2 linked regions of the Caenorhabditis elegans genome follow. The protein of the gene in region 1 purifies or fractionates together with the protein of each later gene. This does not show direct contact. Each region holds a gene or a part of one and is shown in the gene's direction. Other genes may lie near its edges. The genes, in order: sql-1 and trp-4.

The links.
Region 2: the proteins of sql-1 (region 1) and trp-4 fractionate together in Caenorhabditis elegans (co-fractionation; one large-scale study listed by BioGRID). This does not show direct contact.

The regions. Positions count from the first base shown.
Region 1 is NC_003281.10:12,497,595-12,502,783, forward strand, and holds the start of sql-1 (GRIP domain-containing protein), read left to right. Parts: upstream 1-1,962; 5' UTR 1,963-1,968; coding exon 1,969-2,094; intron 2,095-2,203; coding exon 2,204-2,392; intron 2,393-3,439; coding exon 3,440-3,739; intron 3,740-5,189. Other genes in the region: herd-1 (Edg1 TPR repeats region domain-containing protein), read left to right, coding at 1-802, 875-1,061, 1,119-1,340, 1,394-1,428.
Region 2 is NC_003279.8:13,896,966-13,902,127, forward strand, and holds the start of trp-4 (Ion transport domain-containing protein), read left to right. Parts: upstream 1-2,119; 5' UTR 2,120-2,203; coding exon 2,204-2,344; intron 2,345-5,162.

The DNA.
Region 1 (5,189 bases):
GGCGAGATCTAAGCCAGCTGACAAAGTTCTCTTGACTCCCTCGATCATTTGTTTCTTGCTCAACACTATTGATGACGCGAACGTTTCGAATACAGTCATTGAAAACTGTAAAATGATTCTCAAGGCGATTGGTCAATCCATGAAGCAGCCATTCGATGATGAAGCGAAGAGCTACTTGACTTCTGAGGTTTTGAGAAAATTCCCGTGGCCCGTAGAATTCGCATGTTCAACGTGGTTCAAGTCACTGGAAGTTGAGAAGCGACGCATTCCATCAGCGATCTACAAAGCAGTCAATGGAGCAATTGAGGAGACATTCGACGAAAGAAGCGGAATTTTTGGTCAATCGGACAATAAAGGAGACGCAGAACGATGCTCGTCTCCATCATCTCAATCTTCAGTGAAGACGGCGATATCGATTGGCGATAAATCAGGCACCGCTGTTGATAATTTGAAGATGAATGAGCTGAATCTGAGCCCAATGTCAGCAGAAACTGTAGAAGATGAGAAAAGCTGTAAATCCGCGTTGGTCGCAGAGATATTCGAGGAAATCCCACTGGAAACTGATCAAAACATCTCAGTTTTTGAAGATCCACTCGAAGTTCTCACGGAATACCTCGATTATATCATCACGATGGGAGTGTTCGACGTCTCGTGCGCCAACGAGCTCATGTGTCACAGCTCAGTCACGTTTGAATCCACGGAACAGCTGGAGAAAGTTATGAAGAAGGCGTTTGAGGAGAACTTCGAGATCGCAAAAGCCGGCCCACAGCGTATCAGAGAGATTTGTGCGAAGATTTTGGAGGTAATTTTTTTTTGATTTTTCAATAAAATTAATTTCTGAAAATCGGCCATTTCTGAATTTCTATATTTCCAGGTTTTCGCTCCAAGCTCGTCGGAATCGGACCACGACCGTATCGCTTCTTCGCTCATTGAGGTCATTCCAACAGAAAAATATGAGGACACTGGACCAAGATGCACTCAGGATTTAAAGAAATCGGAAATCATTCAGCCTCTGGTCATCATTCCAGACAAAACATCTATGGAACGCTGGCCGCCAACTGGTAGGAAAATGATACTAAATTATCGATTATTTCGTAAATAATTCTGATTTCTTGCAGAATACCGTTATAAACCAAATGAAATCAATGGATCTCGTAACTCTGCACGACATGAACGTGAAGTTCGCAAGCAAGTTGCATTAACCAAATCTTTGGAAATGGCTCAACTTCATCGCAATTTGTGGGCGGAAAGCGAGAGAAATATGGACCACTGGACCCGACCAGCGTCCCCAGGCAATCGTCCATTTTTTGGCGGATCTCGCATGAACTCGTCCACATCAAGTATGTTTTTAAAAGAAAGCCAATATGTTTTGTTTTAATTATAATTTTTGTAGGAGCGCATGGCAGCTCTACGAACGGGTTCCGTTAAGCCGACTGATCGCCCCTGGAATGTTTAAAACGTTCATTTTATTTTTGTTCTTTTGTTTTCAATTTTTCGTTCCTGATTTTTGTTGTAAAATGTATTTCGCATGGTTTTACCCCTTTTTCACTGAGTTGTGGCCCTAAGTCACCGTATTCTTTTTGTTGTTACCCTCGGAATTTTTTAAATAATTACCCTCGGAATTTTTTAAATAATTTTTCCCGATTTTTTCCTAGGAATATGTTAACGTTGAGGTTTCTTCCTCAACGTGAACATTTTAACTCAATGGTGCTCCATGAGGCCATTTCCTTTTCAATGAATTTTTTAAATTAAAAAAAAACGACAAGATTTGGCCTCTGGTATTTATTTAGAAATATGTTCTGAAACTTTTGTGAATATTGTTAGAGTGTGCAATTGCGCGTCAATTCACGTGTTTTCACACACGACACGCGATAGGAGAGAAACCTGAAGAAAAGATCCACTTTTAATGCGATATTTATCCCTTGATTTTATTGATTTTTGAGAAAAAAACGTTGCTTTTTTCCAGTAATGAGCGGATGGTTACGAAATATTCAAGGACAATTAACAGATTTGGCAAATGAAGTGCTAAATGAGGCGAATGATGTGTTGGCAGAGGCCACAGAAGAAGTTCAAGATCCTGATGGAGAGATTATTGTGAGAATTATTAATTTTAAGTTAAAATTGTTAAAAATTGGAAAAATTCAGTTAAAAAACTCGAATTTTAAATAAAAAATCAATTTTTTAAACCAAAAAAAACTTCCAGGTAGCTAAAAAAAAGGCAGCTGAAGCCGAAAAGCAACTTGCAATCGAAACTTCGCGTGTCGAACTTCTTGGAAACGAAAAGAGCCATTTGGAGCAGCAGCTGTATGATGCTCATGTCGAAATGGACGCGATTGGGGCGAAATTCAACGGAATGGTTAAGCAGAGAGATGATGAGATTAAAAAGTTGAAGGTGCACCTGAAAAAATGGAAAATTTCGCGTTTTTTTGCACAAAATTACCCAAAAAATAGCTAAAATTGGAAACAAATTACCCGAAAAAATCGAATATTGAAGAAAAATAGTTAAAATTGAAAAATTTTGGAGAAAAAAGTATTTTTTTTAGCTCCAAATTGCCCAAAAAATAGCGAAAATTGATAAATTTTGGCGCAAAAAATCGAAAAAGAAGCTCTTTTTTTCTTATATTTAAAAATTTTGGCCAATAAAACTTATTTTTCCGTCTTGCAGCCAGCTTTTAGAGTTGAAAATTAATGAAAAATTCGAGAATTCCCTTAAAAAGTGACTAAAAGTACTTTTATTCTGCAAACGGCATCGTTCAGGCCACTTTTTGAGGTAATTTTCGAAATTTTTCAACGAAAATACATATTTTCCATGTTTCTACATTAATTTTTGATTCAAAATTGCTGTTTTTAATTTTTAAAATCATTTTTTTCTCATTTTTTTCCGTTAATTTTGCAAATAAAAGCGGCGCCGCACAGAAAAAAGGTGGAGCCTAATTTTGCAATTCTGCGGCACGGGCTTTCCACTGATTTTTAAACATTTTTTTAAACATTTATATTTTTTCTAGCAATAAAAACGAAGTTCGAAAAAAATCAATAAAAATGAGGAAAAACCGCGCCGCAAGCTTGCAAAATTAAGCTCCGCCTATTTTTCTGTGCGGCGACGCTGCTTTTTCGTTAAAAAATTCCGAAAAATTCATTTTCTAAGCTTAAAAAGTGCCTATCGATTCAAAATGTAGTTTTCAATTTTTAAAATAATTTTCTCATATTTTCCCGTTAATTTTGCAAAAAAAAGCGGCGCCGCACAGAAAAAAGGCGGAGCCTAATTTCGCAACTCTGCGGCACGGGTTTTTCACTGATTTTTGAAAATTGATTCTTTTTCTAACAATAAAACCGTAATTTGAAAAAAAAATCGTGCCGCAGGCTTGCGAATTAGGCTCCGCCTATTTTTCTGTGCGGCGACGCTGCTTTTTTGTTAAAAAATCCCCAACAATTTTTGCAGACCCAAATGGAGCAACTCCAAGAATCCGGCTGGAATGAGTCTACATCAGATATTGATCAGATTTGTGAGCTCAAAAAGCAAGTTTCACACTGGAAATCACTTGCTGAAGAGAAATCTGGAGACGGCGGCGGCGGCGGTGAAAAAGAAGAAGAAGAAATGATCAAATTATCAGAGTTAGAAAAACGAATCGAAGCTCTCCGGCAACAGAAAGAGCACGAAATTCAGTCACTTGTCGAGTCACACGCTGAAAATGTACTTGAAATGAGAGAAATGTATGAGGAAAAGATTGCCGCAATGCAGGTGAGGATGGAATTTTGGCGGCGGAAAAAGAGAGAAAAATCATCGAGAAGAAATTGTGAATTTGGCTGAAAAATGCTCTTTTTTAAATTAAAAAATTGTTTTTTTTTTGTGATTTTGTGATTTTTAGGCCAAAAAAAAAACAAAAAACAAATTATTTTCGCTTTTCGGTTGAAAAAAAAAATTTTAAAAAAAATTGTCAAAATTAACGGAATTTTTCTATATTTATACCCTAATTATTCTCCGGATTCTGAATATCGATGTGAAAAAATTAAAAAAAAAAAATTGTCAAAATTAACGGAATTTTTCTATATTTATACCCTAATTATTCTCCGGATTCTGAATATCGATGTGAAAAAATTCAAAAAAAAAAATTCCCTGATTTTATATTAATTTTTTTTAATCCGAAAGTTTATTGGCTACCTAGTGTAAAAAATTCAAAATTTAGGCGATAAATTTTGCTAATGAAAAGAAAAAAAATTTATTTTTTTAGAAAAGTCACAAGAATTTCAAATTTCAATGTAAAATAAATATTTAAAAATCCGGAAAATCATTGTGAAAATTTGATTTAAAAAAATAGATTTTAAAAATATTCATCCCATACACACGGTTATCACAAGCGTGGCGTCTCTGGTGGCAAAATTGGTCGTTTGTATTTTTTTTATTAGGTCTCCAAATAAGTTCCGGGTCAAAAATCATAACTTTGTTCGCTGTGTATCGATTTTTATGAAACTGTGGGAATTTATGTTATCAACCATGATCTTTCATTTGACAATAGTCACAAAAGTTTTTGACCACCCCAAGTGCCCTAACTCGGAGCCAATTTTTTCAGGCATTTTTCTGATCTCGGTTCTTTTCAGGTTTCAATTGAGGTTTGTGTGCGGATTTTGCTTTGTTTAAAACACAATGTAAGAAAACAAAAAAAAAGTTTGGAAAAAAATCCGTCCAAAAAAATTTTTTTTGTCGGTCGTCAAGAAATCTTCAAAAAATTTTTTTTCGAAAATTCTCGATTTTTTATACAAAAATGATGTAACCATGTGCAAACTATTTTTACACATACAAAACATTTCAATTTATTGCGTCACACTAAACCAATAACAGAAAACACAGCTTTTTCGAAAAATTTTCGAGTTTTTGGAGTATTTCTCGAGATCCAAATTTCATACTCAAATGTTTTGTATGTGTAAAAATAGTTTGCACATGGTTACATCATTTTTGTATAAAAAATCGAGAATTTTCGAAAAAAAATGTTTTGAAGATTTCTTGACGACCGACAAAAAAAAATTTTTTTGGACGGATTTTTTTCCAAACTTTTTTTTGTTTTCTTACATTGTGTACTAAACTAAGCAAAATCCGCACACAAACCTCAATTGAAACCTGAAAAGAACCGAGATCTGAAAAATGCCTGAAAAAATTGGCTCCGAGTTAGGGCACTTCGGACGGCCAAAAAATT
Region 2 (5,162 bases), on another chromosome or scaffold:
TTGTGACTTCCAGATGTTCAACTTCTCCCTACCTCCAGTTCTATAACATTTTCATAGAAAAAGAAAAAGTATATGTATTTTTTGCTATTCCCCCCTCGCCTTGCTCCAGAGAGCTTCTGCTGACCGGAAATGGTCATTTTAGGGTGTGCACCTGGTCTGTCTCTCTCTTCTACACAACCCCTCCTCACCTCTATTACTTTTGAGAGGGTCCGTGCTCTGCCGACATCACATTCACCACCACCACTAAAGTTGGAAAAAATCACTTTTTTTTGGAGATTTATTATTCTTTTTATAGAAGCCTTTTTGTGGGCGGAGCCTACTTAGGGGCGGAGACTAAAATTCAAATTTTCCTGATAAAACTGTTTGGCGGGAATTCAATTTTCTGAGAATTTTTTTTTTTCAAAAAACTTTAGTGTTTCATACTTTTTTGTGGGCGGAGCCTAACAAGGGAAGTCGAAAAACTGAACCCCGGACTTTGACATGCCATAGTAATTTTTCGATAAAAGAGTGAAAATAATGATCTCTCCAAAAAATTTAGCTGCCCCGGTCCAGGTTCAGCAAAGTTATGACGTTTTGAAAGTGGCTAGACAACCTTTTTAAAAAAATTTTTAAAATTTCAAAAAAAAAACTTTTTTTCTGAAAAGTGGAAAAAATATTTGCAAATAATTGAACTCAGTGAAAAACATATGCCATGAAAGTTTTAGCTCATAACTCTCAAGAAAACCCATAAATTAACCTACAAGAAAAAGTAATTTTTGGAATTTTGCTCAAGATATGTAGATCAAGCAATGTGGTTTTTTGTCCGTGGGAAGAAAAAATGTGCATGATATATGTTTTTTACATTTTTGGATAAGTTACAATAGTTTTTATCAATTTTTGGAAAAAAAATTTTTTTTGAAAATTTGAGTTTTTTTTGCTAGGGTTTTGCTAGGGTCAAGGAATTTTTTTCGGCACTTTCAAAACGTCATAACTTTGCTAAACCTGGACCGGGGCAGCTAAATTTTTTGGAGGGATCATTATTTTCACTCTTTTATCAAAAAAATACTATGTCATGCCAAAGTCCGGGGTTCAGTTTTTCGACTTCCCTTGTAAAATTCAAATTTTTCAGTAAAACATTTTTGCGGAAATTCAAATTTTCTGAGAAATTGTTTAAAAGATAACTTTAGTGTTTTATGCCTTTTTGTGGGCGGATCCCAATTAGGTGCGGAGCCTAACATCCAAATTTTTCAGTAAAATATTTTTGCGAAAATTCGAATTTTCTGAAAAAAGTTTTCTAAATGATAACTTTAGTTTTTTATGTTTTTTTTTTGTGGGCGGAGCCTAAATAGGAGCGGAGCCAAAAATTCTAATTTTTCAGTAAAATAATTTTGGCGGGAAATTCGAATTTTCTGAGAACATTTTTTTAAAAAGATTACTTTAGTGTTTTATGCCTTTTTGTGGGCGGAGCCTAATAAGTCGCCGGAAATTAAAATTTTCTCAAAAAACTAGTTAAAATATATAATTTTAAGAATATTCTTGCTTTAAGTTTTTTTTTGCCGACCTAGAAAAATGTGTCTGTTTGTAGTTTGTAGTCTTTGACGTCACAAGTTGTGTGACGTCACACACCCCACGCCCCTTTTGTGGGGCGGAGTCTGAATAGTTGATACCCCGGGAAATTAAAATGTTCTCTTATAATTTCTTGGCGGGAATTCAAAATTTTGTTTCTAAAAATTTTTGCCGGGAAACTGGAATTTTATGAGAAAAATTTTTTGGCGGGAAGTTCAAATTGTCTCAGAAACATTTTGGCGGATATTCAAATTTAATTTTTTTTTAAATTTTGCCTGGAAATGCAACAGCAATTATTTTTCAAATTTTGGGGAGTTTGAATTTTCGTATATTTTGCAAAATTTTCTCACAGTAATTAAGAATTCTTTGTTTTAAAATTACATCCATCTCCTAGACTACAGTAATCCTACAGTATCCTCACAGTAGATCCTTTTTAAATTTATACCTATTTCCTAAAAAAAATCAATGTTTCCATAGAAACCATTAAAAACTTTTTTACTATAGTATTTCGCAATTCTTTTTTTTTCATTTTTTTAAATCTTTTCCCCCAGCCTCTTCAAAATCTCCAATTTTCAGCAAAATTCCTCGGCTCCTCAAAATAAATCATCATATCTTAATAATACTACTACTATTAATAGCATTATACATTACCCCGGTTATGGATTCGCCACGTGGCGGAATCCTGGGAAGAGCTTTACGAGAAGCATCACAATCGACTAGGCAAGAAAATGATGTTGATATGGATCAGGTACCCGTACGGCAGATGAACAGGGATTACGGTGGATCCAGGAGGACTCAGGTTTGCCTAAGTTTGATATGAAAATAATAAAAAAACAATTTTTTGTTTCTTGAAAAAAAAATTTTTTCGAGCAAAATTTTTTTTCCAAAAAAAAATCTTAGACACTACTAGAAAGTTAAAAGTGTTGAAAACGGGTAAAGCATATATGGAGAATTCAGAAAATCTTGGTTTAACCCGTTAAAAACCATTAGAAAGTGGCAAAAATGGCCAATTTATGGCAAAAATTCACAATTTTGAAACTCCTCTAAAATGGGCAATTTTGCAGTTAGAGGACTAAAATTTGATCTGTAAACACTTAAAAATTTGCCCTTTTTCAGATTATCTAGAGTTTTGAATATTCAAAATCAATTTTTAATCCAAATTCCTGGGGTTTTCGACTAGTTTTTGGGGAGGTTTGTTCGACTGTACCACTTCCCCGTAGAAATTTTAGAAACACAAAGTTCTATGGTATTTTGCACTCACAAGGAGTGAATATTCAAAATTTTTTAATTACTAATATCAATCATGATCACTGAAAATAGTTTTTGGTGAATTTTCAGAGACATCTTGGGTTTGGTTTTTGAGAAATTTTTACCGAAAAGTTTTTACCCAAAATTTTCGATTTTGCACTGAAATTTATGAGATTCTTTGTGTTTTTCAGGGGTGTACTAAGCTTGTATTTTATTACTGAAATTATAGTTAAGAGCATGTTTAGTGAGTTTCAGATGGTTCTGAAGAAAATTCAAATTTTTTTTCGAAAATAAAATTTGAAATTTCTGGTCCAAAATTTTTTATCCAAAAATTTTGCTAAAACATTGTCCTTTTTTAGAATTTGATGGTTTTATACATATTCGAAAAAAACATTTTTTTTTGGCCCAAAACAAAAAAGGACAGTCATTAGATGGCTGAAAAATGAAAATGGGCAAAAATAAAAGTTGTCTAAATTTGTTGAAAACGGGTAATTCATATATGCAGAATTCAGAAAAACTAGGTTTAACCCGTCAAAACCTACGAAAAAGTGGCAAAAATAGCCAATTTATAGCAAAAATTCCCAATTTTGAAACTCCTCTAAACTATTGTCCATAAGAAAAAAAACATTTTACAAAATTTTTGTTAAAAGTCGCTTACTTTGTTAATTAAACTATTGCTCATAAGAAATTACACATAAAAATGTACATTGTTCTCTTAAACTCCTAAAAAATCAGCTGTACTTTTCCTAATTTTCAGTGGAAAATCAAAATTTATTGCAGAACTTCGATCGAATTTTTAGGCGAAATTTTTGTCATTTTTTTTTCAAAAATATTCTCAAAATGTTGTCTTATACTTATTTAGTGAGTTTGAAGAATTCCGAAAAAAAATTTTTTTTTTGGAAATTTGGAATTTTTGGCCAAAATGTTTTTTCCCATCAAATTTGCTGAAACTCAACAATTGTGTTAATCAAACTATTGTCCATAAGAAAATACACATAAAAATGTTCATTGCTCCCTTAAATTCCAAAAAAAATAACCGTAATTTTCGAATTTTTAGTGGAAATTCAAAATTTACAGCAAAAACCCTAAATTTCTAGCTTAAAAATGATGTAGATTTTTTTTATAAAGTTATCAAAAACATGCAGAAAATGTCCTTTTCCAGAAAACATATTTAAATTATTTGAGGGTACCAGGGCTCCAAAGTTGTGTCGGTTTTCGTGAGCAGTACTCATTTTTGCTCCAAAGCTTGAAATCTTCTCTTTTTTTTAGTGTCAAATTCAAATTTTCTGCACTTGCACCAAAACCGATTACTAATCCCCAAAAAACACAATACCTACTCGCTTCCAGAAAAAAGTGCTCAATTTCCTTTTTTCCAGTATCTTTGGGTTCATAAGACCTCCCAAAAGAGTAGTATAAGTACACATGACCACACCAAACATCGTATCTCTTAATATACACATTTTTTGGGTATTGGCAACACATACACAAAAAAAAAGAAAAAAGGTCCGGAAATCTCAGGCCGTGTATTTCTTTGAAAAACGGATACGAGAGCAACCTGGGGGGACAGAGGTACATGAATAATTGCTTCAAGACATAGCTACACACAAAGAATGAGAAGAAGAGAAAGTAGTATATTACTTTAAATGGAACATTAGAGAGGATATTTGGAAATTGTTAGGGGTCGGGAATCCAGAATTGCAGGAAGTTAGGTCACATTACAAAGTACACTAATTATTTCTCATGAAATTAAAAATATTAAATTTGGAATTTCCTTTGATACAGCAACCCACACAATCAGTAATAAAAATTAAAAATTAAAAAAAAAAATTTTGTCGAAAAAAAATTTTTTGATCATTTTTTGAAACAACTTCGAAAGCTTATCTCTCAGTTGTTTGTGGTGTTTTCAAAAAGTTGTCAACTGGTAAAATATGTATTTTTACATTTACTATAACTTTGTAGTTAAAATCTTTTTGATATCTTTGATTTTAACCGAGATATCATGCGCCAAAGTAAGCATAAAAAACATAGTGCATCGACTGGTAATACACCACTTAACTTTATAGGCTCATATCTCAATTGCCGTTGGTTTTATAAGAAAGCTTTCAACTGACAAAACATTTATCATTAAATTTTTGTTAACATTGTAGTTAAAAACTTTTTGATATCTTTAATTTAAACCAAGATACCATTTGCCAAAGAGAAGATATCAAACATGGTGCATCGACCGGAAGCACACTACTTAACTTTATCGGTTCATATCTCAGTTTTCAATTGTTTTATCAATAAATTGGCAATTAACAAAATATGTAAATTTAAATTGTCTACAAACTTGTAATTTACGGTAAATCGATATCTTCAATACTAACCGA